Oreochromis niloticus: one gene and its partners. The protein of the gene in region 2 purifies or fractionates together with the protein of the main gene of each other region. This does not show direct contact. Links are inferred from orthologs where the notes say so. Each region holds a gene or a part of one and is shown on either strand. Other genes may lie near its edges. The genes, in order: prim2, mms19, ciao2b and pole.

Region 1 (7,876 bases), on a different chromosome or scaffold from region 2:
TGGATGAAACTGGTCATGCAACAGGACAATCAGCCTCATTTATTAATATCTATGTGGAAAAGGTCTTACTCCGCAAATTTCTTCCCACTCAAAATTACCACCAGATTTAGGATTATTATTATTTATTTTGATCTTACCACGATGCATACAATAGTAAATCATAGCTGTTCGGAACCAACAGTCCCATAGACTCGCCTTACAATTTGCATACTATCTGCCCCGCCCCAATTTTTTTCATATAAGGAAACATATTTACTTTCAGGGAAGCAGAGAAAATAGTGATTGTTCTTAGAGAGAAGCCTGCACCTCTAGGCAAGAAATAAGGAGAAAAGCTGTAGAAAAATAAGTAATAGTGTTTGAGGTCCAAGGAGGCAGCTGGAAGAGAAGCAGCTTTCCAAAGTGTTTCCACTGGACTGATGACTGTTTTTTTTTTTTTTTAAATTAATTAATTAATTAAAACTCTCAGGCTGAAATGATGGGAGAGAAGAATATAATTTTCCCAGAGAAACTCACTGTAGCTAAGTAAAAAAAAAAAAAAAAAAGCTTGAAGGTGATATAAAAAAAGACAAATTGTGTGTTTCTGAATAAGTCACAATCACAAGAAGACACAAATTTCAAGTTTCCAGTTGGAATTTTTTTTGGTGGTAAGCCTCCTCAACTATAATTTCCAGAACAAACCTGTTTTTGAAATGTGCCAAGTGTTTTCTTTAGGAAAGCTTACTGTGTCATAGCGGAGATTATTCTTGTGAAGAAATTCCAGTTGTTGTTTTGGGTCCAAGTCATTAAAACGGAAGCGGAAAAGATCAACTTCCTGTTGTATAAACCAGCGCCTCAGATCTTCCCTTTGAGAGACAAATGGAAATAAACATTTATCTTTTGCAGCTGAACAACTTCTATTCTGACCACATCTTTCAGTATTCCTAAATGGAGACTAAAGACTTACGTTTGGCAGTAGGCCAGTCTGAGAATGAAGTGGGAGATATGGTCTTTTCTTCGTTTTTCATATTCAGTTGGTCCACTTTGAGATTTCTTGTCATCCTTAAGGGTTAGAAAACAATTAGGTAATTTGAAAGACAAATAGATGTCAATCATCTAATCATCACTCACCACTTCTTGTCATGTTGTACAGTTTTTTATTTTATGTACATATATGAAAAAATGATCACATACTAAAAGTCATTTTTACGGTAGCTGTACACTAACTTCCATTATCTCAGGCTCTTGTAATTCAGCATAGGGTCTTAAAATGTTAGTAAATGAGTCACGTTTTCTGCAACACCCAGCAGTGTCTCTTCTTTACTAATACAAATACATTTTATTGCTAAATCATGCTATTTCATCACTATTGCAAAGAGAATTTGATGGATCCTGCGCAAGCTTAAGTTCTAGGGCATCAAAGTCAACACTGTGTTAATACACATTGAGCTATACACTGGCCTTACTCTAAAAGCTATGACAGTTTATTAGATACGTCTCACTGCCATTTTAAGGGGATCACAAGCACCATGAAGTGCAGTGCGATATTACAGGACCCTAACCAAATCCAAACCCTGTGTTTTCATTAAAACACGTAACAGGTAGAAGTTTAAAAAGAAATCTCTTTGTGATAAAGCTTTAGCTGAAGTTGTTGAAAACATAATGCAATAACGGACTCACTAATACTCTTTAAAGTTGCATAATGGGAAACATACTCACAGCATCTGGTCTGTAAGGAAAGTTCAGAGCTTTAAGCTCTTTCTCAAGTTTGCTTATATACAGGTCTGTAAGCTTGACATGGCTCACTCCCAAATTCTCCACAGTCTTCAACACTACAGTGGCAACAGACATTAGTAACCACATGTCCTAAATAAAATGTATTTCACAAGAGCAGAGAAAACAATGCTTACAGTAATTTTCATCATTTGAATTTCACTAGTATGAGACAAATCTTACACTTCAGTCGTTCCACAGCAAATGTTTCAAATTCAGAGAGAGAGATGTTTTCAAGAGGAGGCTGTCCATAAAACTGCAGGTGCTGCCCATAGAGCTCCGACTGAGGGTTAATGCTATTCTTCTTTCTTCTGCCTCCAAACTGCATAGTGCCTGATGTTAAGAGAAATCATGTATGTTTTCATGTACCACTTGGTAACAAGCTGGGTCCCAAACCTGCCATATCTGATGCAGTGAGCCATTTACCAAAGCGACCTTCAATACAAATTCATGACAATTAAATAAGCTGTTCTCATTTCAAAATGCATAACGCGTGATTTTGCCATTTTCTCTTTACTAGGAGTTGAATAAATAAAACACACTATTGTGGAGAAGACCCGAGCGACCTTTTAAACGCTTATGACTAACAAACATTAAGAAATTCATTGGCCTTTGATTTGACACAGTAAAGGATGCTGCTATACAAAATCAGAACAAACGAATTGCTGCAGGCATCTGCTATTAACCATTAACCAGTCTGTGCAGAAGTGGCACCCGGTATAACTTAAAGCAAAACTTGGCAAACGGAGTTTCTCCTTGACTAATCTTCATCACAGTCGCTCAATTAGGGATTAAAGAAAAGAGTCGAAATGTTTCTGACAGCTAGAAATTAGCCTCTACAGACAAACTGAACTGACAGGGTGAAGCTAGTTGGTTTGTTATGTTACACTGGCTCAGCAGTCAGTAACTGTCGTTCTCATAAACTCAATTTTTACGTTCGAGGCTAAATGTAGCCGCTAACTGAGACTATTTAGCTTATGTTAACAATAGAGCCCATAGCAAGAAGTTAATGGTAGGGAGAAAAACTCCAAATTTGACGTTTGCTAGGTATCAAATTTGAGTTTAAACTGCGTTGAAAAGACCGAGCTCGAACACAGCCCGAGAAACTTATTTCACGGTTCAGGATATAATACTGTCGTTACATTACCGATTAGATGACGGTTTTAGAGTCCTAATAACGCAGTCCCGCCAAACAAAGTGGGCTGTTCAACAAACGCGGGTTAAAAATATGACGTTGCATCCGACACCGGAAGAGAACGAAAGTTGTGAAGTGGTGTGTACTCGTTTTACTTTTCAGCACAGCCCGTCCCGTCTCTCAAAATAACGATGACCTCCATGAAAACTCAAGCAAAAAGTTTCTTTTAAAAGGATATTACCCAAATTTGTCATTTCACACTATGTTTCCATTTCTGTTTTTTTGGCGTTTGAACCAAATCCAACACAAACTCACGGGCCCATGTGTATTACATAACAAACGCCCCAATAAAACGCGGGTTCTTCTTATCTTCAAATACAGAAAATCTTTGTTTTTCAAACGATTAATAACAGTTTTAAAATTAAACCCAGATATTAAAAATAAATCATTCAGAAACCCATTTCATTTTCCAAATGCCCATTTGATAAGGTTGGTTGGACTGATTTTCTTCTGAAATATCACTACTCCACAGACAGTTTACCTATCAGATCAGCAAATATCCACAAATAAGGATTACTGGCACGTCCTTAGCATATAAACTTCTCTTCACACAGACACTGCATATGGATATACGGGTGTATATGCAGGAATGAATGAAACACCGCATGTTTGACACAAGAATGTTAGTTTTAAAATAAACAGAATATATTCTGTAAAGCACTTTCTGGAAAGGTTTAAATTCCATGTCATTTATAACTGTGATTTCTGTGGTCGAAATAGATCAGACATTTCGCATTTATTTTTCCAGTGTATGTAATCCAAAATATTGTGGTTTGACGTACAAAAGTTTTGTATTTAGAGAAATTGGTAAATGGTCATGTTATATTATAGAGACATTTTAGTTTATTTTGTGGCTAACTCAATAAACAAACAAAAAAATTCTAACCCAACTTCTGGTCATTTTTGGTAAGTTTCATATGCATACAGTAAAATGAACCTATACAAAACCAAAACGTCGTTACGTTTTTAACTGACATCAACCATTACTACAATTTTCTCAGCAGACGGTTAGGTGTTTTCTGCCTTTTAAAAAAATGAAGCTGCAGTTATTTAAAGTTATTTAACTAACTATTTGAAAGTTTCACATTAATGACACATATTCAGAAAGGGAGCAACTGTAGTGGAAATTAAATGTACTCCCTTTTAACACATTTCCGTGTTTCTGCTTTATAACATGCATTTTACTTCACATACCTGAAAGTAAAATGCACTTTTTAATCCGGTTGTGAGTAATTTTCACACGCTTTTTTCCTGGTTGTTGTGATATGGCCACATAAAGCACGCTTATAAGACATATATAATAGCTGTGAATAAAATAATATCAAAGCGGGGTAAAAACATGTGCGATAATGACAATAATTCAACTTTTAAACAGTCGTGACTTTTAGGGCTAACATATGAGAACTACAAGTGTTCCCAAGACTCCCGAGGACAGAGGCGCGTTCACGCCGACTCTCTTGCTTTGTGCATTCTTTGGCTCTGCTGCTTAGCAACAAACACTAGCGAGCTAGCCAACTGCCTGGCTAGCTCTCACGCGCAACGTAGCTCACTGAAATAGGCAGCAATGGATATCCATCCTATAAATGTCATGAGAGTGACCTCAGGTGTTGACAGTCAATAAACGGCATCTTTCGTTTAGGAGAGAACGTTTTTGCGCTAGACAGGGAAGAAGACGTTAGCGAACGGAGCAGAAGGTTGTCTTTCTTCTGTGAAAAGTGGCTAATCTTAGCTAGGCAGCCTTAGCACCGGAGTCTCTTGCGTCTCCTCTTGCCACGGAGAAGAGCGGCGGGAGGCTGTAGATATGTGGATGTGGGTTAGCTGACTGCATAACTCGCCTAATGTCATTGGATGAGTTGTAGCGTCGTTTTACAGGTAAGAAACTGCACGCTTCTTTGGCATGCTTTCCCATCATTTCTTCACCGTTTATTTCACCCAGCTTTAACGCACTACCTCAGGAGCTGCTCTGTACTTCAAGGGGAGCCTCCTTTCAGCAATTCAACAGGTCTTATCTTGACCAAGGCAAGGGATTTGAGTGAAGAAGAGGAGTGAGAAGTTAACTTCTAACTTAATTCCCATCAGAGACTATGAACGTATTACATATAGCAAAAGTCTTCGACAGAGTTGAATAGCTTAGTTGGGTGTCATGGCGTTTTGATCTGTGTTATTCAGTCTGTGCTTTAAAAAATTGTGGTGCCCCGCCTTGAGGCCTGGGCAAGTAACGGTAAGTCTATGAAGATGACTCACTGTCTAGCAAGGGGGGTGTATTATCTGCTTCATACTGAGCAGAATTCAGTACTATGTGCATAGCAATGCAAAGCATACTCTCCTACCATGTTATATAAAAAATGCAGTAGGCCTGTATATTTCAGATTCGGTGTTATCACATTTGTGTGGGGGGGGTAATACTGATCTGAAAACCCAGAATTTACTCAGGACAGTTGTTTGTGCAGGTATGGAGAATATTGTGTTTAAATATGTGTAGCTGATACCTGTCTTGAAGTGTTCGACTGCACCTTCCAGTCACTTCTTTAGAGCTTGAAAAAAGAAAGCAGCTGGACTTCTTTCAAGAGTCTTTTTCCCTTAAAAAAACAAATGGTGGAAAGTCACAAGTATTTACCCTGGGGGGGTACCCTTTGGCAGTGATCCTTACCCAGTATTGATAATGTGAGTCACCACATGAGCCAAGACGTAAAAAACCCCCAACTTGGGTCACTCACATTACCATCAGTGGGGGCTAAGAATGAAATCTCTGTGAGGCCTTGCCCTAACATGACCTATTGAGATCACCCAAGGAGAGTTGTGATTCATTTCAGAAATGTGGGGGATAAGACATGACCACAGTGCTAAAAGATTGCCCCACACTGTTATTGATACTAAGAGCACAATTATTAGAATAGAATAGAATAATCCTTTAATTGTCCCACAAGGGGAAATTTGGGTGTAACAGCATCAAGAAAGACACACATACAAACAAACAGTGCACAAGACACAGAACAGAAACATACACAATTTTTACATATTTACATCAAGGACAATTTTTACCAAAAACAGAGTACTGTACCGTTATTAAATTAAATAAAATTAAATACAGATAAGAGGTTATAGTGTGAATCGGTTGATAAAATAGTGCAAGTTACAGCGCTGATGTAAACCTCTATGTTTGTTGGGAGCAGTTTTGATTGTACAGTCTGACAGCTGCAGGGAGGAAGGACCTGCGGAAACGCTCGCATGAAGATCTCATATTCAGATCTCATTTTCAAATACTGTTAAAGCAAATCATCATCATTTATCTAAATCTGAATCATGTTGTTCTAAACCTATAGTAGTAATAAATAAACAATGCATAATCAGCTTCTGAACCTCCCAGTTTGACAGTTTCTGTGATGATAAAACACATTTAAACTACAACTCCAGAACCGACTACACTTGAATATGAGAGGACTAGCTGCTTGAAAGGAAGACGAGGTCTTTACTCAACTAAAGTGAAATGCAAAGTCAAGACTTTAAAATAATCCAAAAGTTTACATTAAAAGAAGAGCATACTATTCTATTTTCAGCTGTGTTTTGCCTTCATGTTATACCAACTGATGTGTCATTCGGCTCAATTACAGATACATATTGTGACTCAAATTCAGGCAGGCTGTTGAACACTACAGTCACGCAGTAGGCTGTCAGTGTCCACTGAGAACAGCTTTCCCACAATATGTTGTTTAGCGTAGCACTCAGCCACTCCACATATATAGCTGTGGGGACCCGGTTGCTATGCGGAGTCTGCAGTTTTCTGCACTAATGGAACAATAAACATAGTGAACCACCTCTCCAGTCAAGCTGAAAATTTGTTTTACAACAGTTAGTAAAATGTGCACCCATAACAGTTTAAAAGCTAATTACAGACGTTGTGTATGTGACACCGTGTATTAGAGTGCAATGAAGTGCTTGTGGTGCTGGCGAATATGATAATTATATTATTATGCCTATAAAAGTTGAGTTGTGACTGTTGGCTATAAAAATGTATTGTAAAACATTTTTTTAGGCTTGGACAACTACATTTGTAACAGTATATTGACATATCAAACTGAAAATAAGTTTGATTAGTATTAAAAATAAGTAGCAGTTAGTTGCGCCTCTGCTAATTTGCTTGATCGTCAGTTGCACTTTAACAGCATTTATAAGTAACTTATAAACTCAGTAACAAAGTTGGTTTTCATCATATTTGTTCAACTGATAACTGTCTCTGAAGTGAGTGATTCATATATAAACCACATTTGAGTTGCACTTGTCCAGTGTTTGTGTGGCTTTTTCTTTTTTTTTTTTGTAGTATCTAATATTTTATTTTACACTTTCAGCTGGTACATGTGCTCCCGTCACAGCTCTGAAACAACACAGGCACAGTGGAACTGAGAAAATCAGCCAGACGTCACCACCATGTTGGAGGAGGACATGGAAGTGGCCATCAAAGTGGTCGTGGTCGGCAATGGAGCTGTCGGCAAGTCCAGTATGATCCAACGTTACTGCAAGGGCATTTTCACTAAAGACTACAAAAAAACAATTGGAGTGGACTTCCTGGAAAGGCAGATACTGTAAGATAATCATTTGAAAGATGTTCTACTTTATTTATCAGTTATAGTCTATAATCAAAGTCGCAGAGGGTCTGTTAACTAACTACAACTTCAGCTGTATAAAATTGTTTTACAATATTAAATACATATTTCAGTAAGTGCATACTGATCAATGTGGAATCCTGTTGGTACCCACATTTTAGGTTTAATCAGAAATTACTCTTTTTTTTAAAAAAAATGAATTTGACTAAATTTGAGACATTTTACTTAAAAAGGCCACATATTATATTCAGCTTTTATTTAATTAACATTAATTATTATTATTTAATATTTTATTAACCACAGCACAGTGGTGCAGTGGTTAGCATTGTGG
Region 2 (7,310 bases):
GAATGTGAATCGCATTATTGGCTGGACTGTAGGATAAGGTGGCATCGTTCTAATCCCATACAGGAGCAGCCAGTCACTCACTGACTAACACTGCAAAACAGAATTGTTAAAGTTTTAATTTTAATTTCAATTCAGGTTAGATTTTTTTTGTGCGCAACGCAGATTTTCTGTGCGCAGAGACCGTGCCAGCAGTGCGCAATTGCGCACATGCGCAGCTTAGAGGGAACATTGGTTTCCACACCACTGAAGTCGTTTTACCTCTCTTTTCAACCAGCGGCATTCTTTCTTCAGCAGCCATTATCCTCTCCTCTCCAAATAACTTATGCTTAGCTTTCCGAGCTTCCCTCGGGTCCTCTTAATTGTTGTGACGCGTGTTCGAAACGCAGAGAGGTGCGCTCGATTTGCCACACGGAGCAGCGCGAGAGTAAAGCACGAGGGAGGTGCTAATAATCGGCTCAGTCATTTTTAATGATCGTTCAAAACCCAGATCGTAATCGAGATTAAAATTCGATTAATTGAGCAGCCCTAGGTTCAACCATAGCGATGATGTGCTGATGTAGCAGAAACCCTGCTCGGTACGAGACGAGCCAATAAAGTGAAACTATGACTTGAACGCCTCCATGTCAGAATCGAGCCTTGACATGACAATACAACAGCCCAGCTGATTTCTGGTTAGTCTGAGACAGCTGGATACAAACAGTGCTGAGAGTCACTCATGGGGAAGCTGGTTTGAGGTTTGATCTATATTTGCTTTTGACTGAAATTGCAAACCACTGTTACAGAGATGCTTAAAAAAACAAAAACAAAAACAAACAAAAAAGCACAACACCACTAAATTACAGACATTGTCAACTAAATTAATGTGTTTCTCCTTAATCAAGCTATTTTCTGAAGCAATTACATTCAAAATAGATACACCACCTTGGAACGGGCAGGTTTCACTTTCCTTCACAGTTCAGCTTAGTTTCCAGTGAATTATTTTGTTGATTCTTGAGATCCTAATCTTTGAGAGCTTTGACGTTATCGTGGCTAATCAGTCTACTGTTATTATTAAGGGATTTACAAAACTAGCAAGCAAACCTTGTGAATATATATATTCAGCAGGTTTTATATACTCTTAAAGCCTGATTGATATTTGACTTTATAAAAATCAATATTTAAGATAAACTGGAAATTGTGCATTTCTAATCACCTTTCAGTTACATCTGTGCTGCTTCTAAATGTGTTACTAACTTGTATATTCTGTAACTTCCAACACTTCCACAATAAAATCCCTTTATTGGGACAAATGATAATTTCAACGGGTGTCTGCATATCTTTATTTAAAGTCCAAACTTGTTCTTCCATTATTTTGTTTCAGCATGACAATACAAACAAGCTTCCTTTTTGTTCCTTTGAGCATGTGGTAGGCAGACCTAACACGAACATAGTAACACAAATTACTGAGCTCTCATCCAAACGAAATTAGAACAAATGGAAAAATTGAGATCCCATATAAGCTATCCAATTCCTTCTCTTATCAAGTGGTGTTTCTTTATGAGCGTGTATGTAACAGACAAAAGTCAGTGTCAGTCAATGATGCAGCGGGGCATGATGTGACTTGTTCTTGATCGAAGCCTCGTCTAGCAAAGGGAGCATGTTGAGTCTAATCAAGTTGGGAAATCAACATGAGCCACTGCCAGAAAGCCTGGGTATGCTGGCTGTGACAGCTTTAACTTTAAATAGCTACTCTGGCACACGACAAAGAAACTTACTTAGAAGGTCATATTGGCATCAAAAATCTATGTTAGTGTCTAATTTTAGGATGCAACTCTATAAGCAGGGGTCAGAAAGTCTATTCAAACAACGCCCTTTTTTATATGGCGAAAGCTGGAATCAATCTTAAAAACCTCCCATCTTTCTGATGCAAACTGGAGACAATTCCCACTAGAAAAAGGCGTACTGAAAAACTTTCCAGCAGTAACAAATCAAAGGGACAGAACCTGCATCCAAATGAATAACAGACATTTAGTTTCCTGAGCAGCCACTCTAAGGCAAACACTGAGCTCAAGTGGGCCTGCACTGTAGTCACACAAGTGAGCATGCTTTTAAAGCAATATGACAGAAATCTGAAAAAGCTGAAAAGTCTTTTCCCATCCCAATGTGTTTATGTGACCCCCATTCATGAACCTACCAGGCTGTAAAGCGCTAATCTCCCAATAATGACTGAGGGTATCATAACAAGGTCACACAAAATATAATCAGCATTGTTTTCTGTAAATCGAAACTAAGGAGAAGTTCCCAGTGTCTAATAATTCAGCTGCACGGAGCCTGTGTGTTGATGGTTAACTTCAGGTTGGTTAAAAAAAGTAGCAGTTTATTATTATGTTAACTTTCAGGAAAGTCCGTAACCAACAGACATGAACTGATGTGAAAAGAGAGCAACTTTTGGAATTAATGTAATGTAGCTGGCTGTTACAGTAACCACAACACAGAGCTTACACCCTAGATTTTAATATACGAAAATTACCCAACGAGTTTACTGCCATCAGCTTTGTTACAGATGTTATCTGAATATACTGCTTCACCAGTCTGAACTGATAAGATGAGAAAAAAACCTTGTCAAAGCTAAAGAATAAACTCCTTTTTTTTTTTTTTACCGATGCAGAAGAGGCACACATCAAAGAGAGCTACAACAGAATCCACTTTCCTCACACAAAATGCAAACTGCCACCTCCCAACCTGCTTCCACTTTCTGTAACTAGACAATCTGGTAACTTTAACCAACCCACCCAGATCTAAACCCCTTCTAAACAATTCATACATGTTTAAGATGTGTGTGTGAGTAATCGTGAATGGAGATTTCGTGCACCTGCCCAGATACCTCTGTTTAACAGCAGCCACAAGACAAAAAAGGGCCAAGTGGTGACCAGAAATGCACTCTGAGTAAAGTCTAAACCTGCTATTGCTATTGGCAACACAAAACTATCAACGCAGGAATATTTCTCTCTTCTTTTTTTTTTTTGGCATCACTAATCATGAACGGTCAGAGACACTATTGCTGTATGATTTTAAGTTTCCAGCTCTGATGTTTCAAAGAAACCTCCCCGCATATTTATACAACATCCACACAATGTTGCCTTACCTCCTCGTCCACCGTTCCTGGAGGAGCCCCGGCTCTGCGAGTCCTCCCAGCCTTCCAAGTATCTGCCCATACATCCCCCCATGGTTAACGGGCTCCAGATCGCTTCCACGGGTCTCAATGGCTAAACAGGGGCCCCATTGCGGACGAGGATGTTGTACTAGGTCCGATGAGGAGGATGATTCGTGCGCACAGCGACGCAAGACTGAGGGCGGCAGTTAATATTTAAATCACGTTTTGCAGCTCTATACGTTTCAGATTAGGGCTTAAAGTGCCCTCTTTGTAAATAATTTCTGCCTGCGTGTGACACGCGCACGCAGAGTTCACGGCTCGTGGCCCGCACCAATGTTTCAAGAGTTTGAGCAATCCGCAGCATCTGCCACCAGCTCGTTGTTAGCTTCAGGATATATACAGTATGTTTCTACTGTTTAACGTAGCTCGTTAAGCTGGGCTGACTTGTAAGTGTTGCTGTTAACCCGTCCAGGCACAGCGCACCTTTCTCGCTAACAGGCTAACAGGGCCAACACGCTAGCTACCGCGGCGTAAGTAAACACAAACTTCCGCGCGCACGAGATCATTTCCCCGCATGTTCCGTCTATGACAAACGTAGCGGGTCATTACAGCCTCCCTCTGTCCGCCGTACGAAGGAGTACTTCAGTTCTTTGACGAGCTCGGTACAGTCTTTTCTTTAAATAGCCCCCCCCCCCAAAAAAAAATTCTCTCCACTTCGCTGGTGAAAGGTGACCAGCGGCGGTCTGCTAGCGCCGCCGAACTTTTTTCTTTACGCTTGCGCAAAAGCATCCAGCCAGGTGTTGGTTTCTATTGCGTCAGGACTTGACACAATTATGAATGCAGGAGTACGCAAATTAATTTGTACACCGGAGTTATCATACAACAGCTACACGTTCTCCTAATGTCTATACTTGAAATTATACTAGTAGTAATTAATTGGAACCTCTTAAAAGCAAAACTTCAGTGGAAGGAAGAGGATGTACATCAGGAACATCAAGAGAATTCCACTTTTGCGAGTTCTAGTATTTGTAGAGTATTGTTCGGACGGTACGTGAATGCAGCATTAAAGGACATAATATTGAAGCTTTTCTTCCACCATTCGGTAAATCTTTTCATTCTATAAAGATGAAAAGACACTGTTTTGTGTGGAAATAATATTATACTGTTTTTAAAGGTTATATTTTTATGAGATTATAATCTAAAACCAGTCGCTTTTCGCGATTCACCTAAAGTTTTCGCGCATGCGTAGTGCCAGCGAAGTAGTTACAGGGACACGATGGCTGCGGAGAGTACCTTGGCGCTGTCTCTGGTGGAGGAATTTGTGTCTGGACTGCAGGACAGCAAGGCTAAAGATGCGGCAAAAGGTAAAAGGCTTTCGTCGCGGTTTGCCGGTGACATTTACGATGCATTTTTCACAAAAGTAACGCGGGAGAGGCTGTAGAGCTGCTCTTCGAGGATGCGCAGCGAGACGTGATGGTTAACTAGCTAACTTAGCGCTACAACATCCTGTGTAGTGTTGTAACCGCAAGATAAAGAGCAAGCATTCGCCGTGAAAATATATTTGCTCATTTTGTTGGCGTAAATGCACATTCTGGATGTATGCATCAAGTTTGAACACATTGTCTCTTCACAAGGACTCTTAATTTGATGCTAGTCCGCAGCGGTTAAAGCACATGCTGCTTGCTAGCTGCTGTGTTTGTGTAGAAGTACCCTGTCAATGAACCCTGTGGCCTTACCTTTGAGTTATAACCTGGTACAGCTACTAGAGTTAGAGCATGCGTGTATTTGCATTGCGATAGCGCATCACTCCACTTCACTAAACTTATTTGGGGGTTTTTTGATCAGGTGTCAAAGATGGGAAGTTTACAGTTCTGCAGCTGGTGGAAGCACTGGGGTAAGCAATCTTCATCGTCATGTCAGGGGAAAATATCAGCCAGAGTTTGCAATTACATTCCTATCTAATACCAACTTCTATCTTCATTCCCTTTCCTATTAAAGGTCCAGTCTGACCAGTTCTCAGCCTCACACTCGAGCCCGAGGAGTCCATCTGCTCTCTGAGGTTTTGCAGGAGTGCTATGGAGATCTTACAGAGAGAGAAGGTACACCTTTCTCCTTCCATATACTGTGCTGGCATTGTACGGCTTCGTGCAAAGTGACAAATCAAAAATGCTTTCAAATAACTGCATTTTTATATCCATATATGTCTTCCGATGACGCTTATTCATGTCAAGGGGCGATCAGCACTCAGCATTTCTTCCTGTTCTTCTCCACAGTGGAAGTGCTCATTGCCTTCTATGAAAACCGTCTGAAGGATCATTATGTCGTCACACCTCCCGTCTTAAAGGGGCTCAAGGCGCTGGTTAGTCGTTCTTTGAAAACATTTTGTTTCTGCTCAAATCTGTAACTTTATTTCAGGCTGGGGGACTTTTTTGAGAAGTTCCAAATGTGAGGCAGGTTATGCATTTCCTCTTTCTTTTTTTTTAATGTGCATTTTTCCCCCCATTCAGACAAAATGTACAAACCTGCCTCCTGGCTCAGCTGTGTCCATGCTGAGGTCAGTGTTCCAGGACATCCATGTACAGGTGAGACTGTCATATTGTACATTTAAAGTGTTATTGTGAGGAATAACAACAGTGCTGGATTGATTTTTACCTACATAATTTCATAGTTTCAATACTTAGTTGTGAGCTTTGATGTGTTTGTGTTCTTTAAAGTTGGAATTGAAGAGAATATGGATTTTACAAAGACTGCATTATGTATTTTACTTAACCGAAATTGTTGTCAAGATCAAGTTGTTGCTTATAAATAAATCACCTTACATTTATAACTAATCTAGATCACTGTACTTGGAGGGTTATGACAAAATGCTAATGTTAGAAATTAGATTTAAGCAATTTGCAGTGCATGAGTTTTCACCATTAATCAAATAATTTATTATGATTAACCAAACAATTCACATTTTACATTCCACTTTTTTTTTTTGTAATATGATATCAACAGTTCGACTGTCTGAGTTGTTTATTCTGACTTTAGTGGACGTTTTATGACTTTTCCTAGTTTCGCAGTTGTTTGATTTTTCCGACATTAATGCTTTTAAAACCTAATGTAACACACTGTCGGAAACATCTAGCCACACTTGTTAGATGTTCTTGTTTCCTCTCTGTTATTGTTTTTGCTGGTAAAACTGACTCATCTAAAACTGTTCCTACTAATAACAAATGTATTTATTTCCCCTGCAGTCTCTGATGCTATCAGAGAGAGCATGTGTCTACAGCATGCTTATCAACATCATGGAGACCAGAGAGGCGGGTAAGAGATTATGTTTTGATTCACAAAACCTCAGTTAATAGAGACAGAAAGCTCTGTGGAAGGAAGCAGGTCATGTTGAAGTAACCAGTGATTTAAGAGTTAAGCATGAGCTTTAAAAGTCGGGCAATCTCACAGCAGTAATGGAAGGCGTTGACACACTGTCCTCTGTTTGGCTAATATTTTAGGATAACAGCCATACTGTAAAAGATGCAAATGGAGGGCTGACAGTGAAATACTTGTGCTCAGCTACCAGTTGTTAAACTGGAAATGTTTACAGGAGGGATGGTACTGTGACCTGGGCTTTGTTCCAGAAAGCAGATTTAACAAACTCTAAATGTAAGCTCTGAGTTTTTGGTTCCAGACTATGTTCACCATGGCAACGGTCAAGACCCTCCTGTTTAATTCTGTGGGTCATGTTGGATCGTGTTGTTTTCGTTAAAAAAACAGAAGAGGGGAAAAGTGTGATTTTAACAGCAGAGATGTTTACTCATTTACACAGAATCATTTCATTATTATATATTTTTTTGAAAAAACAGTTGGGATCTAACCAGATTTTAAATGAGTAGTGAATCTTCATTATTCAGCTGACCTGACAGGGACAACATGCAGGTTACAGCAACTGTAGATAACACAGTTTAATTACAAACTGGTGATATTAATCAGACCCAGTAAGGCTGCTTTTAGGTGATTTGTCGATGTGCAGCACCTTGGAATACATTTATTAACTTTATTTTAAACTATATTTAGAATACTGTCAGAGTCTAAAAAATCATTACACTCTTCTTCATCTCCAATATGATAAAAATCAACATGACTAATAACAGCATTCAGAGTCATCAAAGAGTGATTTATAAAAGTCTGGGATTAT
Region 3 (7,400 bases), on a different chromosome or scaffold from region 2:
AGATGCTTTTCAGCATAGTTTGGTTTTATAAGGAGTAGTCATTTGAGCCATTGTGGCCTTCAAGTCTGGCCATTTTCTTCAACAAGGTATTTTCACCCAAAAACCTGCCTCTCACTGGATATTTTCTCTTTTTATTTAGACCATTCTCTGTAAACCCCACAAGTGGATGGAGAGTGGGGAAACCCCACTAGATAAGCATTTTATAACATGCTCAGGCCAGCCAGTCTAGCACCAACACCTTTGCCACATTCAAAATCACTTAAATTACACTGAAACTTCAGCGGATGACCTTTCTCATGTATATATGTTGAAATGCATTTAGTTCTTCACATATGAGTGGCTGATTAATAATTAAATGAATGAGCAGTTGAACAGATACACCCGACAAAGTGGCCAGTGAGTGTATATGACAAATGTAACAGGTAGAGTTTCTCTGCATTTTCACACTGTTAAAATTTCCAGGTGGAAGAATAATTTCTTTGTCCAAACGAGACTGTGTTATGAGCTTACACTCAGATTATATTATTCTTTGGGAATTTAAGAATTGGCTTTCTCTGTACTCTTATTCAGTAAATGTTGCCAATGTACAGAACCTGTATGATCCTGATCACGCTACTCATACCAGGGGTAGGGGTGTGCAGATAGTTGGTAGATACAAAGCAAGTTTTCAAAGAAACCAAACATGTCCTCCTGCAAAAATCTGAGTCTAAAAGCTGACAAGGCTAAAGTTGGCTGGCTGTTCAGATGCTCCTGGTGGACAGACACTGGTTGACCACCTCCAGTAGAGATGCATTCTCCAGAGCTGCTGCCACTCTCTCTTTGTCTGCCAGCTGTTTGTTCACTGTACACAAAATGACATAAACAGTATGATAAAAAATGCATTAGATTATACTGGTAAAAATGGTCTAAAATTCCATCTCGCCTCCTTTCTCTCTATGGAGTTTTACCTGCTTCCTCTGAAGCATGAGTCCCAGGAGTGATACAAACATCAATCTGAGAGGAAATAGAAAAAAATATACTGTAATGTAGGCCACAACTGAAAATAACAAAAGATTAAAGCACAGAAAAATTTGACACTGTAAAATATGCTTAAGGTTAAATGTGCATGTCATGTGAAAAAACATGCATAAACATACTTTGAACCTGTCTGGCAGGGAGCGCAGAAGTTTGACTTTGATTGACAGACCAATGAGTGTTGCCATGCTGCAGTGAGGGATGGTAGGTGTGAACTCAACACCCACAGTATTCTCTGCATCATTAACCTGAGGGAGCATACACAAATAATAAACATCATTCATCAATTTATCTTCCTAACAGCATACTGCATTCATTTTTAACAATGAAATTCACTGTAAATACTTTTGAATGAAATGCTTGTTGTTGGATTCAACTGTCTTCAACCATTTTCTTTACTAAAGTATCTGCAAGTGTGTTGCAGAGCATCTTTTTATTTCCTTATTCACACTATTACAAACATAGGAAAAATGTATAAAATAGGAAGCAAAAAAAAAAAAACCAAAAAAAAAAAACCACACACCTTAACTCGAACTTGCTCCACAACATTGAGCTCTTCCAGTGACAGTGGATGCTCTGGGTCATTGATAGATCTGATCAGATGTAACTTTAGTTAAAGAATTCAAGACGGTATAATACAAATAATAAATATTTCTTTTTCTGCACTACTGTAATCACTGTACTAATGATATTAAAGTAAAGATCCAACAATATTAGAGAGAAACGCCAAGAATGATATCGCCTGTGAAGCAAGTGTTTGGTAAAAGTGGAACAGAAGAGCTCCCTTGTAACAGGGAGAGACCTCCAGCAGAATCAGGCTCATCAAAGTACTACCATTGGCCATAACCAGTTGGGAGGAGGGGAAAGAAAGGACAAGAAGAGAAAACAAATGTTAATAAGATGCATCACTGGCATGTAAACACATTAGGGGTGAAAATAAGTTGTATAATGCCCAGAAGCTTCATCAAAAACTTAAGTCTGAAGTCTGATCATAAGTAGTAATGGTGTGTGTCTCCTGAACCCAAACTGGTAGCTAATGGCTTAAAACTCATTGTACAAAAGATTGAAGCATAGTCTATGAACCACAAGTGAACCTGTTTAAAGAGGTGCGATTTTGTAATAAAATAAACTGTCTGATCCTTTGACTTTAAGCTGTTTGCATAGCCACTGTACATAGGTCCAAGAAATCATTCAACTAATACTAACATCAGCTTAACAATAACTCAATTACAAACTGTCAAATTGTTCAAATTATATAATAAAATATATTTACAAAAATGAGACAATCCCTGAGAATACGAATTGCGTAACCCAAACCATTAACGGTATTTATAAGTTTAATCTACCATGGTCAACTAACCTATTAAAACACAGTTGACTTCAAAATGTTTAGTTAAGTTTTCAATACTAAGAAACTGACTATTATTACCTGTCGGCAAACCCAGATACAATCGGGCTACTTCTTAAACTGCTGTTAACTCCCTCGATTTCACCTCATTATCTAGCTGAATGGCACTGGTATTAGCGTTTAAGTCAGGCAAATAATATAATACATAAACATCATTAGAAAAAAGGATAAAGGGCATATCTCTAAGGTGTAAATCCACTCTAAACCACAGTAAAACATTTAAACAGGATATCGAATATTTCTCTGTCGTCGATGGGGTCGTGGACGTCTTCATCCTCTTCGGATGCCGTCTGTACTCTCTCCCCCGACCGCTGAAAAATCACAGGGTTTGCATTCTCCAAGCGGGTCCCCTCGGACATGTTCAGCGCTTATTTTAGTCCACGTTAAACAGTAAAAACCTCGTATTTTGTCAGAGCTTGCCGCTGCAAACGAGCTGTACAACTAGCGCCCTCATGAAGTACTTCCTGGAATAACGGAAAGCCGCAGAGTCCAAAACATAAACGTTCTACAGTCTTAAAGGAACAGTACCCGCAAATTCTTTCCTGCTAAATACGCATTCTTTCAGTAAGATACGTATTCAGTTAACTGAGTGCCTTTTCGGACGTGAGACGGAGTAAGCTATACAGATGTTTGTTTGTTTTAAAAAAAAAATGCCATTTAAATTTCCTTTCATAGTCTTTGCTTATTCTCTTGTTATGTTCAAATTTTCCCAGGCTTCCCATTTTGAAGGCTTTGACTGTACATATAATTTTTTTTACTGGCATTTGTCTCCCTGGTTGTCCGGCAGATGGCAGATACCGCCCATTTTAGCACTTGACACCAACAACCTTACGCACAAAATACGCTTTAATAGAAGTGTTGTTGCAATAACAATATACTGACCACAATAATCTTAATTTCACATGACTTTTTACATGTAACGTTATTACGTTATTTTTTTTAAAATTTATTTTAGTTTGTGTGTTGTTGTTTTTTTAAACAAAAACATATTTCTTTTTCTCACAGTTCTTTTATTTTGTGCACACCTGAATCAGATCTAATTTGCATGTTCTTTCAAACACATTTGACCTATTATCGGGAAGAAGAGAGATTCTGCTTTTTCATCTATGCAGAGTAAAAAGTGTATCCTGATAAATTTATGACAAGCCACCAGTGGTAATTTAGATTGGTGGGCTAGCTATGAGTCCTCACTTTAGTTTCCTAGAATTTCCTCTCTGTTAGCAAAGCTCGAGCATGATAATGAGATTATGTATCTGTATTCAAAGCTAAACTGGTATCTACAACTCAATTAAACACAGTAATTTCACCATTTTGATGTTAAGCCCCTACAAACTCATTGCAATGATTATCTTTGAAAAAATTAAAACAAACTGGTTATGGAAGCACTTTATTTATAAAATTAAATTATTATATGGTTTTCATTTCTGTACTACACAACTGCCATCACCATCAACTACTTCTATCAAGTCAGAATCTTAATGAACTGCTGCAGTCACTGGAAATGTGGAGCGTGGTTGATGTGAAGTTTTACTTCAGCCTGATATGTTCACCTTTTGAAAAAAATGTGCATATAATGAGACTGCACACGGCCGCTGACACATGTTTTAATAAAAATGTCATGGATAAGGGCAGCGACAGTTGAAAAGGGCGAAAATATTTTCCTAACTGTGACAATATGGACTAACAACCTTTAGATTCACAATTCTGGTTTCAGGTGGTAAAATGCTATTTATAAATAGTTGTTTCTGTGAAATTAGATATGACCAGCAGTGAACATTTTTTCTAAGCCCAATTTATGCAAGAATTACATTATCAGCACAGATGACTCCAAAACCTCAGTGTCTTGCAACTACATGAAAAAGACTGAAAATTTTCATTATAAAAGGCAAAATCTTAATGAGCTACTAAATTAAAATCATATCAACATTACCAGTCTTAAATATCTCACAAGTTTAATGTCTAATCAGAACACCTGATTAGAAAACCTTGAGCATTTGGGGATGAAAAGTTTAGAAGCATGTAGATAAATGAGGCACAAACAGGAAAGTTTTATGTCTCGCATTAATGCAGTGCACTATCAGAATGAGAAGTAAGAGTTTGCTGCTGCATAATGTAGAGAGTCCAGAGAGGTGAGTTTTTCATGGTCTGACATTGTGAATGTGAAGGAAATAATATCCCGTTCTGAAGTCAAAACATTTGTGAAAAATGAACACTGTTTGTCAGACATGGGTTTCTTAAGCTTCTGAATTTAAAGAAGTCTTTTTTAAAATTCTCAACAGTACTGATAATAAAATGGAGCTACCTGTGGAGAGCAGCTTGCTGCTGCCATGCACTGTGTGCATTATGTGATTATTCCTCATTTGGTCTTTGTGTTCAGAGCATGGTGGGATTCCATATTTATAGAGAACCACTGGTGGTGTTGAGCCTGGAGCAGCACACCTGATGTGCATAATGAGACAACAAAGCTGCAGACAACCAGTTCACAGCTTGCCATAAAAATAGCAGCAAATGTTAGCAATATGCAGACATATGGGTAGATTATTTTCCTTAATGTCACAATGTATTCCCAAAAAATGGATTATGAGGACTATAGAGCAATTTTTATTGCAAAGAGGTCTTTAGGTTTGACTGTATTTGTAGCTTTTTGAAATATGCAGTGCAAAAATTAGGTGCAGAGAAATGGAAAAGCATAGAAGGCTTGAACTTCCCTCTCAAGTCAACTTTTAAATTACGGTAACTCATTTTTTCTGAGGACTGCCCAAAACTATGCACTGAGATTCCTATTAGAGTGAGAAAGTGGGCATTATATGGACAAAAGTACTGAGCCAAAAATGACACCTACGGGGACTGCTTGGCTGTAGAAACCCATGCCATGAAGCCCCCTGTGCACAGTTTTTTGTGCTGATGTTAATGCTAGAGGAAGTTTGGAACATTATTATTGACTATGGAAATCACTACTAAGTGACCCTGTTCTGTAACTTTACTGAAACTCATAGTTTCAGTCTTGAGACCATTTGTCTAATACAACATAGCTCATGGCATTAAAATAAAGACTAAAGACAATGTAAATGTGATTTATCCACTTGATGGACAGCAGTCACACCAGAACGCAGGTCAGTGCTTGACATTAGGAGTGTAAATTTCACTCTTGCTATGTGATGTAAGAACAGTAGCAAGAAGCAGACAGTCACTAAAGGACCCTGCATGTTAGTGTGATGGTAGTCCATAGGTGCCAGGCAGAGCTTTGTAGACCCATGTCTGTGTATAATAGCTGTCTACTGTCACCTCAGGCCAGGCAAAAATAGGTTGAATAACCAGTAATGTCGACTGCTATTTTTCATGATTCGGCTACTTGTTAGTTCTGTAGCTTTGCCCCTGCAGCTGAGGAGAAAGAAATCATAACATGCAAAGAACTTTTGTAGTGAAGGGAAACTGATTATCAAACACGAAAGGAAACTGTCCAGTGCAGCTACTCTCTGTGCTTCTCCTGTTTTTTTTTTTTCTTGATCTTTGATGTTTTTCACACTTCTCCCTGTTAATGGTGAGCTTTGCTCTTGCTCTCTTTTCTGTTCGAGTCAACTTTGCAACAAGTCATTATTTGACCTGTGGAGGGCATTGCACTGATGGCCTTTTGGAGGTTGAATCCCTCATATCCCTCTCTCTGCATATCCAGGCAGCTACGCAAATGGTCACCAGTGTGGGAATACAAATCCTGGAAAATTTTGAGAGATTTTATCATTTTATTTATTCATTTTTGTAACAGAAATAAAAGCAAAATAAAACAAATATACTTCCAGGAGAACAAGTCTTGTCTTGCATGCAGTCACCTTTACTTGCAAATTATTAGGATCATGGTTTAAGTTTATAAAGTAAAAGACATCAGTGAAACTGTATCATTTAAATGCTTTAAAAATCTCTGCCACATCAGCATAAAAGCTAATTTTTTCTTACCGGGTTAGTGATTTCCACCTGTACATTTTAGGTTTAACTTGACACACTGCTGCCATATTTGTGAACCTTCATTTAAAAAAAAGTTGACCAATATTGTGTAAATTCTGATCATTCAAGTTGTAATTAAGCCCAGAAAGCCATGACCTTTTGTACTATGGGTTTTGGCCACTGGAGCACATAAAATATATTATACATATTGAGGCAAACTTTGCAGTCTCACAGAGAGTTTCTGTGTCTTGTCAGAAAATGAGATGCCTTTCATCATTTATGAAATACTGAATTAAATATACAAGGTCAAAGGTAAACTTTTGGAGGAGAAATACAAACTATAGAAACTAGACTTTTTTTTCTCTTTACAAAAGCTACAAACAGAGTGAACAATGAAGTTTGAACATAGGCTTTTATATTATGTGTTCACTCATGCTAAACCTATGTTTTGTTATTCACTGAATTAAACATGAAATTGCAAAATGAAGATCTTTTAGTTTTAAATTATTTATCTAACTCATGGTTTATAACCATACTGTGAGATGAGAATGGATGAGAGATCATGCTTCTTTTTAAGTTTCAGGTCGCATTTTCCTCTTAAAGAGGAAAGTATCACATTATTACAGTTCTGACAAATTATTGTTCAGTCTTTTAGAATGATGTATTGTTCCAGTTGAAAAGTTAATAACTATGTGTTTTATAATTGCAGCCTTTTAGAAATGTTCACATTTTCCTTTTCAGGAGTTTGCTCATTGTTTCACATTAATGTGCATATTCAGAGTGACTGCAACAGTCACAAAGTGACAGCAGAAGATGACTTACTTTGGAAAGCAATTTCGAAGAGTCAGGAAGAATTTCTTTTCTGCTTTTACCTCGCCCTCGGGGGAATTAGGTGAAGGAACCAGCCAAAGAGACTATCATTTGAACAACTATTTATAAAAAGCATGTGGCAGAACATTTATTGAAGGTGTAAATTAAACTAGCTCACAATTTTTAACAGCGGCTTCAGCGTTTTGTGTGTCTCATTTAATATCATCCA
Region 4 (7,027 bases), on a different chromosome or scaffold from region 2:
GTATTCTACCCACTTCACCTTTAAAGTAAGTAACTGGCTTTTACAGAAACAGGAAATAGGCTTACCAATCAAAGAAGTCTCCATTGTAGGTCACAAAGATGTTTGGCTTTGTTTCTTGAACGTGATCAAACCACCTCTGAATGAGAGCTGCCTGCAACCGTTACAGCGTGTTATTAAACTGACAGAAACACACAGCAGCCTTTTATACATCAATGCTTTATTGTTAGTGGCTACATACCTCATTGTCCTCATTAAAAACAGTGAATGGCCCTTCATACTCAGGTTTGGGGGTAAACTCAAAATCCTCAATGTTCTCAGAGACGATCTCTCGGTTTGTGATTAGAAACCCCTACGTGAAAACACAAGGATTGTTAGATGATATTACAAACAGGATCATAACAAAAACTTTAAAAATCAAACGCAAATGAACCTCACCTGTCCATCTATCATGTAGGAGATCATCATAATTTGATCCGTCTCCGCGTCTGGGAATTTCAGCGGAAGCTTGGTGGTCTCGATGTCAAACGCCAAAACAACGGGGTCCTGCAGGGAAACAGCGTTTCACAGAAAAGCCCCGACATAAATCAAAACTTCTGTATAACTCTGAATGGATGATGGAAGGCTTAAAACAACAAAATCCTGATACCGGTCGCTCCACAAGATCGTCTCTCCGTACAATCTCTGGCGGGTAAGCGCTGCCTCTGTATCGAACGTTGTACCAGTGAGCCTGAAAAATAAAGACAGTAAAGATAAGAAGAGCACGCACAGGTGTAGAGGAACATTTCACTGGAAAACACTGGAACCAGATATAGTTGATCTTACCACGTGGATCTTGAGGTCAATGGACACACGCACATGGTAAGGCACGTCATACTCTCTCATGTCCACTATGTTGTCTAACTGATCTGAAATACTCTTTGACATCCCGTCTTCATCCACTGAGGTCACGTTGCCTCCTGATAGCGCACTAAAAGGACAAAAAGGTGTCCGGGAGTTATTATAAAGCTGGAAACGTCAGGCGGAACATCAAAGGAATCTAACGGGATCGAAGGTTCGGTGATACCTTGACAACATTGAGGTGTAGGCATCGTTGGACTGCTCCCTCTCTCGGTTTTTACGTACCGCCGGGGCAATCTCACGCTTGACCTTCACGAGGTCGTCCACGGTGTTGAACGCCAGCTTGATGTAGTTTCTCTTCAGTCCGACAAGGTGGTTTGGCTGGAGAGACCAGATCAGCAGAATCAGCATGTGATTGGCTGTACAAAGTCAACACTAGCAGCCAATAGGGTTCATGATACCTTCAAAAACACTGATATTCAAGAGCCGTTTTTTTTTTAAATACTAAGGACAAGAGTGCCACAGTGGTAAGAGGATATATTTTTTTAGATTTTTCTTAAAAGACGTACACTCACTTGACCACTTTCTTAGGTACAGCCATTCAACTGCTCACTGAAACAAACCACCCAATCACATGGCAGCATCTTAATGCATAAAAACAAGCAGAAGTGGTCAAGACGACCCGCTCAAGTTCAAACTGAGCATCAGAATGTGGAGGAAAGATGATTTAACGGACTCTGAACGTGCCATGCCTAACAGGCTGGTCTGAGTATTTCATAAACTGCTGATCAGCTGAGTTTTACCTTCATAAACATCTCTAGAGTTTACCGAGAATAGTCCAAAAAAAAGGGAAAATATCCAGTAAGTGGCAGTACACCTCGTTGATACGACATTTTGATGGTTGAGTCAGAATCTGACATAAGCAACGTGAAAGCATGGATCATCCAGCCTTCCAGCCCAGTACTAGTGAGACATATCTAATGAAGTGTCCGGTGAGCATACATAAACAGATTAGATTTCTATATGACTGAAAATGTGTTGTGGTGGCGCTCTTGTCAAAAATCATCCATTAATTAACTGCCAACTATTCCTTCATTAATTCTGTGTAAATAAATATAGAAAATATTTATTTATCTACATTTATTTGACTTATTTATTTACTAACTATTTATTTATTAGATAACTTAAAGTCAGTTGAAACTCTCACCAGGTCCAGGTCTTCTTTTGGGAGAATTTCGAGCTTTGCCACCTTTCCTTGGAACTTCTTAGATAAGTATGAGATGACTTCTCTCTCGCAGTTCTGGACATACACATTTTGTTATTTATTACTTTTTAAAAAACATGTTCACTTGGCATAATCACAGTCACTAACTTACCTTTTTCGTCGCAATGTAAAAATATGGCTTGAAGGGCAGAGACACCTACAGCACAGACAGAATACATGAGAGAAAATGTAAAATGCAGGGCATTTAATAAGCTGCGTTACAGCACTCTGCTTTCCCCCCAAACACACCTTGAACCTGCTTCCATCCTCCTGTATGAAATAATAGTCCACCGCGCTGATCATCCTCTTGTCTTCATCCAGGATCTCTGCCTACAAATGCAGAGCATCAAAAATAAATGTTAAGTGTTTATTTTGCAGCAGACAGAAAGTAAAAACTGTCTCACTGCGAGGACTCACGGGGTGCATGTTGATCAGCCAGCCCGTTTTCTCTCCCGGCTCCTTCATCCTGTCGAATCCGAAGCGAGCGTCCATCTCGTCGGTGAACTGACTGCGCTCCAGCCGCTTGAGGGCCGATAAGGAGGATCCATCATCCCTGGTTCAAACACACGCAACAGTGACACTAAATCCTCACAGTCCTCGGTCATCCATTAATATTCTGAATAAGAAAGTGTTATGAAGTTTTTGAGCTGCTGGACTTACTGGCTTTCCGGATCCCCACTCGGTCCTCGGTCCGCTTTGTAGCGTCCACTGTTCTGCAGAACCATCTTCTATCGCGATGTTCTGGTTACAAAACACTAAAATAAAACAGCTAAATGTGTGCGTGAAGCCGCATTTGAAGACACGTCGCTTTAATTTCAAAGTTTTGTCTGCTGGATTTCTCTGCGCCTGTCACAGACTCGCCTGCTGTTTTCCTATTTTGGCGCGTTCCTGCAGTTGCCGCGAGAGGACGGAGCTGAGAACCGGAAGTACAAAGATCGTTAATAAGGGAGATGAATCCCTCACGGTGGTGTTGAGACGTATCTATTTAGGTTGAATGTCATGTTCATTGTAACGTTGGGGCTCATAGATGTGCCTTTAAAAAACAAAACAACAACAAAATAAATAAAAAAAACGTTAGAAAGCAAAGTGTTTACGTGATATATATATATATATATATATATATATATATATACACACACACTTTGATTTTAGTTTTTTGGGTAGACTACTAGTTTTTTGGGTAGACTACTGCTTCCTGGTAAAATTCAGCCTTCCCTGTCACATATTACCTATGATATCATATATGACATGACTTAAAAAACAAAAAACAAAAAACAAAAAAACTGTGCGAAAGGATCTCAATCAGATTTGAGTCTAGACTTTGGCACGGTCTCTCCAAAAACTTCATTTAGCTAAAAAAAAATGTTTCTTTGTTTCTAACCATTCAGTTGTGTACTTGTTGGTGTGTTTTCGATTATTGTCCTGCTGCATAATCCAAGTCCAGCCTTGAGCTTCAGGGCATGATCTGATGACCAGACATTCTCCTGCAGGACTTTCTGGTAGAGAATAAAATTCATGGATTCACCAATCACTGCAAGTCTTCCAAGTCCTGAAGCAACAAAGCTGTTCACACTACCACCACCACGTTTGACTGTTGAGTGTGTTCTTTTTATGAAATGCTATGTTAGTTTTACAGCAGGTGTAATGGGACTCAAAAAGTTCAGCTTTTGTCTCATCAGTCCACAAAAATCTCAGGGATCTGGGAAGGGAAGCTGTTTTTTTGTTGGCAAATGTGAGACGAGCCTTTGTGTCCTTTTTGTTCAGAAGTGGGTGCCTCATGGCAAAAAGAGACTAGGCAAAAATGGGTGCCATTTTTGCCTAGTCTCTTTCTTATTATTGAATCGTGATCACTGACCTTAACTGTTCTGGGTGCTCTTGGAGGATGACAACTCCTGGAAAGGTTCATCACACACATAATACAGAATAAACAGGAAATGAAAACAAAGGTGGGCATCATATCAATCAGATTCCATTATTTGAAAAAAAAAGGTGCTTGTTGATACATTGATTTTTTAATATGAACTGAACGGTCTTAAAGTTCAAGTATACTTTTTTCCCATTGTTCATGAACTCAACAGAAGACCGACGAACCAAACATTTTTCCGCTAATCGGAAGATGCTTACTGATTTCTATCGAGCAGGAACATCTCGAGTATACACGATCTTCAGAGGAACCCTTAACTCTGGGAGGAACCCCCTCCCCACGCACATGTTTACTCTCCCGCTGTGGAGTGGAGGTAGTGGTAGGTGACTTTGACATTTGTAGCTGCTGGCGAGGCACTGTCTATAATCATAAAGACATTGGCAGCGGTAGAGTTTGGAGGGATTCTGGGGTCTGTGTCACATTAATAAGATAATGACGGATGTGTTTTAATTCATGATAAGTTCCGAGTGGTGTGGAGGTGTGGGAAATAATCAGTGGGTTTAAATCGGTTAGCCTGGTACTGTTGCTCTCTGGCTGTGTGAAACAACGCAATCAACAACCCGGGAGCAGAGCTGCCCGGTTTCTGAGTGTGTGCAGGTGAGTGACAATGGCATGTTTTGATTTACACGTTAACTTTAACTTAAAAGACAGTCCCGTTTTTCTCCAGACTGAACTCTGGAAAAGATCAGATCAGTGGGCTGATTTAACTTTTATGTCAGGCAGAATCAGTTGTTGTGTTTAGTTCAACTTTTCTGTCAGAGTTCACAGATATTTGTAAGTTTACAAGGTAAAATGTTCACGCCAGAAGTTGGATGCACCTTTTTAAAAGTGACATAAAAAAAAAAAAACTCCTATAAAAAATTGATGTGCTTAACTTTTATTTAAAACAGGGAGTCATGTGAGAATAAGTCTGTTCTTTAAGGAAAAGCACAAGAGAAATAATTCATCTGCTATATGGTATCAGGATATATATTAAGAAAATAAAGATAAAAATGAAAAGTAAAGCTATTTCATAAATACATTCCTTCAGATCTTGTTGTTTCTCGAGGAAAGTGACGGTTTAGCCTTTTCCTTTTTTGCGTCAGCTTTAAATTTGCTCCAAAGGATAAATTCACTAATTTTGTGCTTCTATTATACAGACTGGATGTTAATAAATCTTTATATTTTTTCTTTATCTAAAAAAAAACATAAACAATGAAATCTTTCAATGGGACAAAGAACGCATGTGTCTAATTTAGATTCTGTATTTGGATGTGTTCAAGTGTTCCTGCTATTGCTGCTGTTTTTTATGGATGTTTTTTTTTCTTTCCCATCCTCCTTCACCTGAACTTCCCTTCCTTTCATTCCCTCAGTGCTGACCTTTACCCCACATGAAGCAGCGCATGCTCTCCATGTCAGCTGTTACAGGCAGGCTGTTTACAGGACTCTCGCTGGGAAATGTAGCCTGCAGCCAGGTCCAGCTGTCATAGATAACACACTCATGTGTGTATGCATAGGACTTAGTCACCTAAAGTATACACGTGACCTCTGAGATTGTAATTACTTCTCTTATTCTTACTTCTGTTTGACTGAATTTACTGAATAATTTACTTAATATATGAAAGTAAGAACTTCAGTGTTGCTGTCCTGAGAGAGTGTCTGACCTCTGACCTTCAAATCAGCAACTTAAACAGTACACAGAGACAAACACGACTTAGTATTTCAGTTTTTCTTATAGTCATGATGTATTTTAACATGCTTTAAAGAGGAGTTTATTTTTTATGGGGATTCATTAAGTTTGGACATCAAAAGAATTGTGCTTTTTCCAATGCTTGGAGAAAGACAAATATTTAATAGTGATAATAGTGATCTTTTAAAAAATAGTCTTAAACATTAAGTATATGAACAGTTGCCCAATTAAAACATAATAATGGCTGAAAAAAGCAATTACTTAGTTGTTTTCTTAGTTGTTATAGTCATCATTTGCCCTGAAATGGCAAGTTAAAACAGTCTATCCCATTTTTAAAATCTAGAAATGTCTTTTTTTCCATATTTCTTTGGGGTCATTTAATCTCAAATCACCTTTTACTTGACCATATTTTCCAAAAAACAATTTAATGCTGGAAATTGAAAATTTTGCATTATGTATCACAATCCTTTATACCCTGATAGTGGCCTTTCCTGCCATTAAAAATTAGTCAGGATCTGTAATTTGGGAAAGTTACACTGAAAAATTGGGAAAAATCTAAAAAATAAAAAATAAAACATGAAAGCAGTCCTTTAAAAAAATGCAACAATGTTTCATATGAACCAAGAATTCATTTTTCATTCCGCTTAATGAATCTTAATTGATTTACTGCATTTATTTGCATGTTCAGAGAAGATTATGTCCTTACTTGTTGTCTTTTTAATGCGTCTTAATAAATTTTATTCTTAACATGAATTATCAGACTCATCCAGGACAAAGTGTATGTGGTTTTTGATAATTAAAATCCTCCACATATTTAACAAAATTATTCTCTCAGATAGACTTAATGTACCACCTGGAAACTCCAGAATGTAGTTCTATTGCGATTAGACTATCTACTGATATTTTTGTTTTTTATGGTCCGACATGTCATATTTGGTCAATCCAGCATGAAAGCTGAACAAAAATAGCATTTTATTTTTCATTTTTGTGACTAAGAATTTCCTATTTATAAAGTCCTTTACATATTTTATTTTCCATTATTCTCAAATACAACTATAGACCATTCAGACATTGTCATTAGTTGTCTTTTGCAGAGTTAAGTTTGTTTTATTAATGTATATTCAAATATGGGACTTCACTGAAGGCTTTCATTACAGTGTCAAGGTCAAGGTCAAGGTAACTTTATTTATAGCCATAGGCGAGGTAAATTTGCTTTACAGTAAAATGACAGCATTTGGCATCCCTTCAATGCCAGCAATAGAAACGAAAAGAAACGATGAAAACTTAAAAACTTAGGACACCAAGCTCTCATTCACTGCCGGTCGCTGTGTGT

Evidence for each region.
Region 1: the proteins of mms19 (region 2) and prim2 purify together in Homo sapiens (affinity purification with western blotting; 5 studies listed by BioGRID and IntAct, with this or other methods). This does not show direct contact. The link is inferred for Oreochromis niloticus from reciprocal best matches to the Homo sapiens genes MMS19 and PRIM2.
Region 3: the proteins of mms19 (region 2) and ciao2b purify together in Homo sapiens (affinity purification with western blotting; 11 studies listed by BioGRID and IntAct, counting the BioPlex papers as one, with this or other methods). This does not show direct contact. The link is inferred for Oreochromis niloticus from reciprocal best matches to the Homo sapiens genes MMS19 and CIAO2B.
Region 4: the proteins of mms19 (region 2) and pole purify together in Homo sapiens (affinity purification with western blotting; 3 studies listed by BioGRID and IntAct, with this or other methods). This does not show direct contact. The link is inferred for Oreochromis niloticus from reciprocal best matches to the Homo sapiens genes MMS19 and POLE.

The regions. Positions count from the first base shown.
Region 1 is NC_031978.2:20,005,162-20,013,037, reverse strand, and holds the start of prim2 (DNA primase large subunit), read right to left. Parts: upstream 3,023-7,876; 5' UTR 2,897-3,022; intron 2,083-2,896; 5' UTR 2,078-2,082; coding exon 1,933-2,077; intron 1,809-1,932; coding exon 1,696-1,808; intron 1,039-1,695; coding exon 944-1,038; intron 843-943; coding exon 722-842; intron 1-721. Other genes in the region: rab23 (ras-related protein Rab-23), read left to right, coding at 7,370-7,524. UniProt on the Homo sapiens protein: Regulatory subunit of the DNA primase complex and component of the DNA polymerase alpha complex (also known as the alpha DNA polymerase-primase complex) which play an essential role in the initiation of DNA synthesis.
Region 2 is NC_031973.2:22,199,619-22,206,928, forward strand, and holds the start of mms19 (MMS19 nucleotide excision repair protein homolog), read left to right. Parts: upstream 1-4,290; 5' UTR 4,291-4,409; coding exon 4,410-4,497; intron 4,498-4,978; coding exon 4,979-5,027; intron 5,028-5,131; coding exon 5,132-5,492; intron 5,493-5,640; coding exon 5,641-5,715; intron 5,716-6,372; coding exon 6,373-6,442; intron 6,443-7,310. Other genes in the region: ubtd1b (ubiquitin domain-containing protein 1), read right to left, coding at 3,125-3,206. UniProt on the Homo sapiens protein: Key component of the cytosolic iron-sulfur protein assembly (CIA) complex, a multiprotein complex that mediates the incorporation of iron-sulfur cluster into apoproteins specifically involved in DNA metabolism and genomic integrity.
Region 3 is NC_031978.2:7,117,066-7,124,465, forward strand, and holds the start of ciao2b (cytosolic iron-sulfur assembly component 2B), read right to left. Parts: upstream 3,018-7,400; 5' UTR 2,782-3,017; coding exon 2,655-2,781; intron 1,618-2,654; coding exon 1,538-1,617; intron 1,263-1,537; coding exon 1,137-1,262; intron 994-1,136; coding exon 948-993; intron 842-947; coding exon 741-841; 3' UTR 1-740.
Region 4 is NC_031977.2:17,883,661-17,890,687, forward strand, and holds the start of pole (DNA polymerase epsilon catalytic subunit A), read right to left. Parts: upstream 3,012-7,027; 5' UTR 2,827-3,011; coding exon 2,762-2,826; intron 2,655-2,761; coding exon 2,519-2,654; intron 2,432-2,518; coding exon 2,351-2,431; intron 2,259-2,350; coding exon 2,214-2,258; intron 2,138-2,213; coding exon 2,045-2,137; intron 1,219-2,044; coding exon 1,064-1,218; intron 968-1,063; coding exon 823-967; intron 728-822; coding exon 647-727; intron 544-646; coding exon 436-543; intron 350-435; coding exon 239-349; intron 152-238; coding exon 66-151; intron 1-65. UniProt on the Homo sapiens protein: Catalytic component of the DNA polymerase epsilon complex. Participates in chromosomal DNA replication.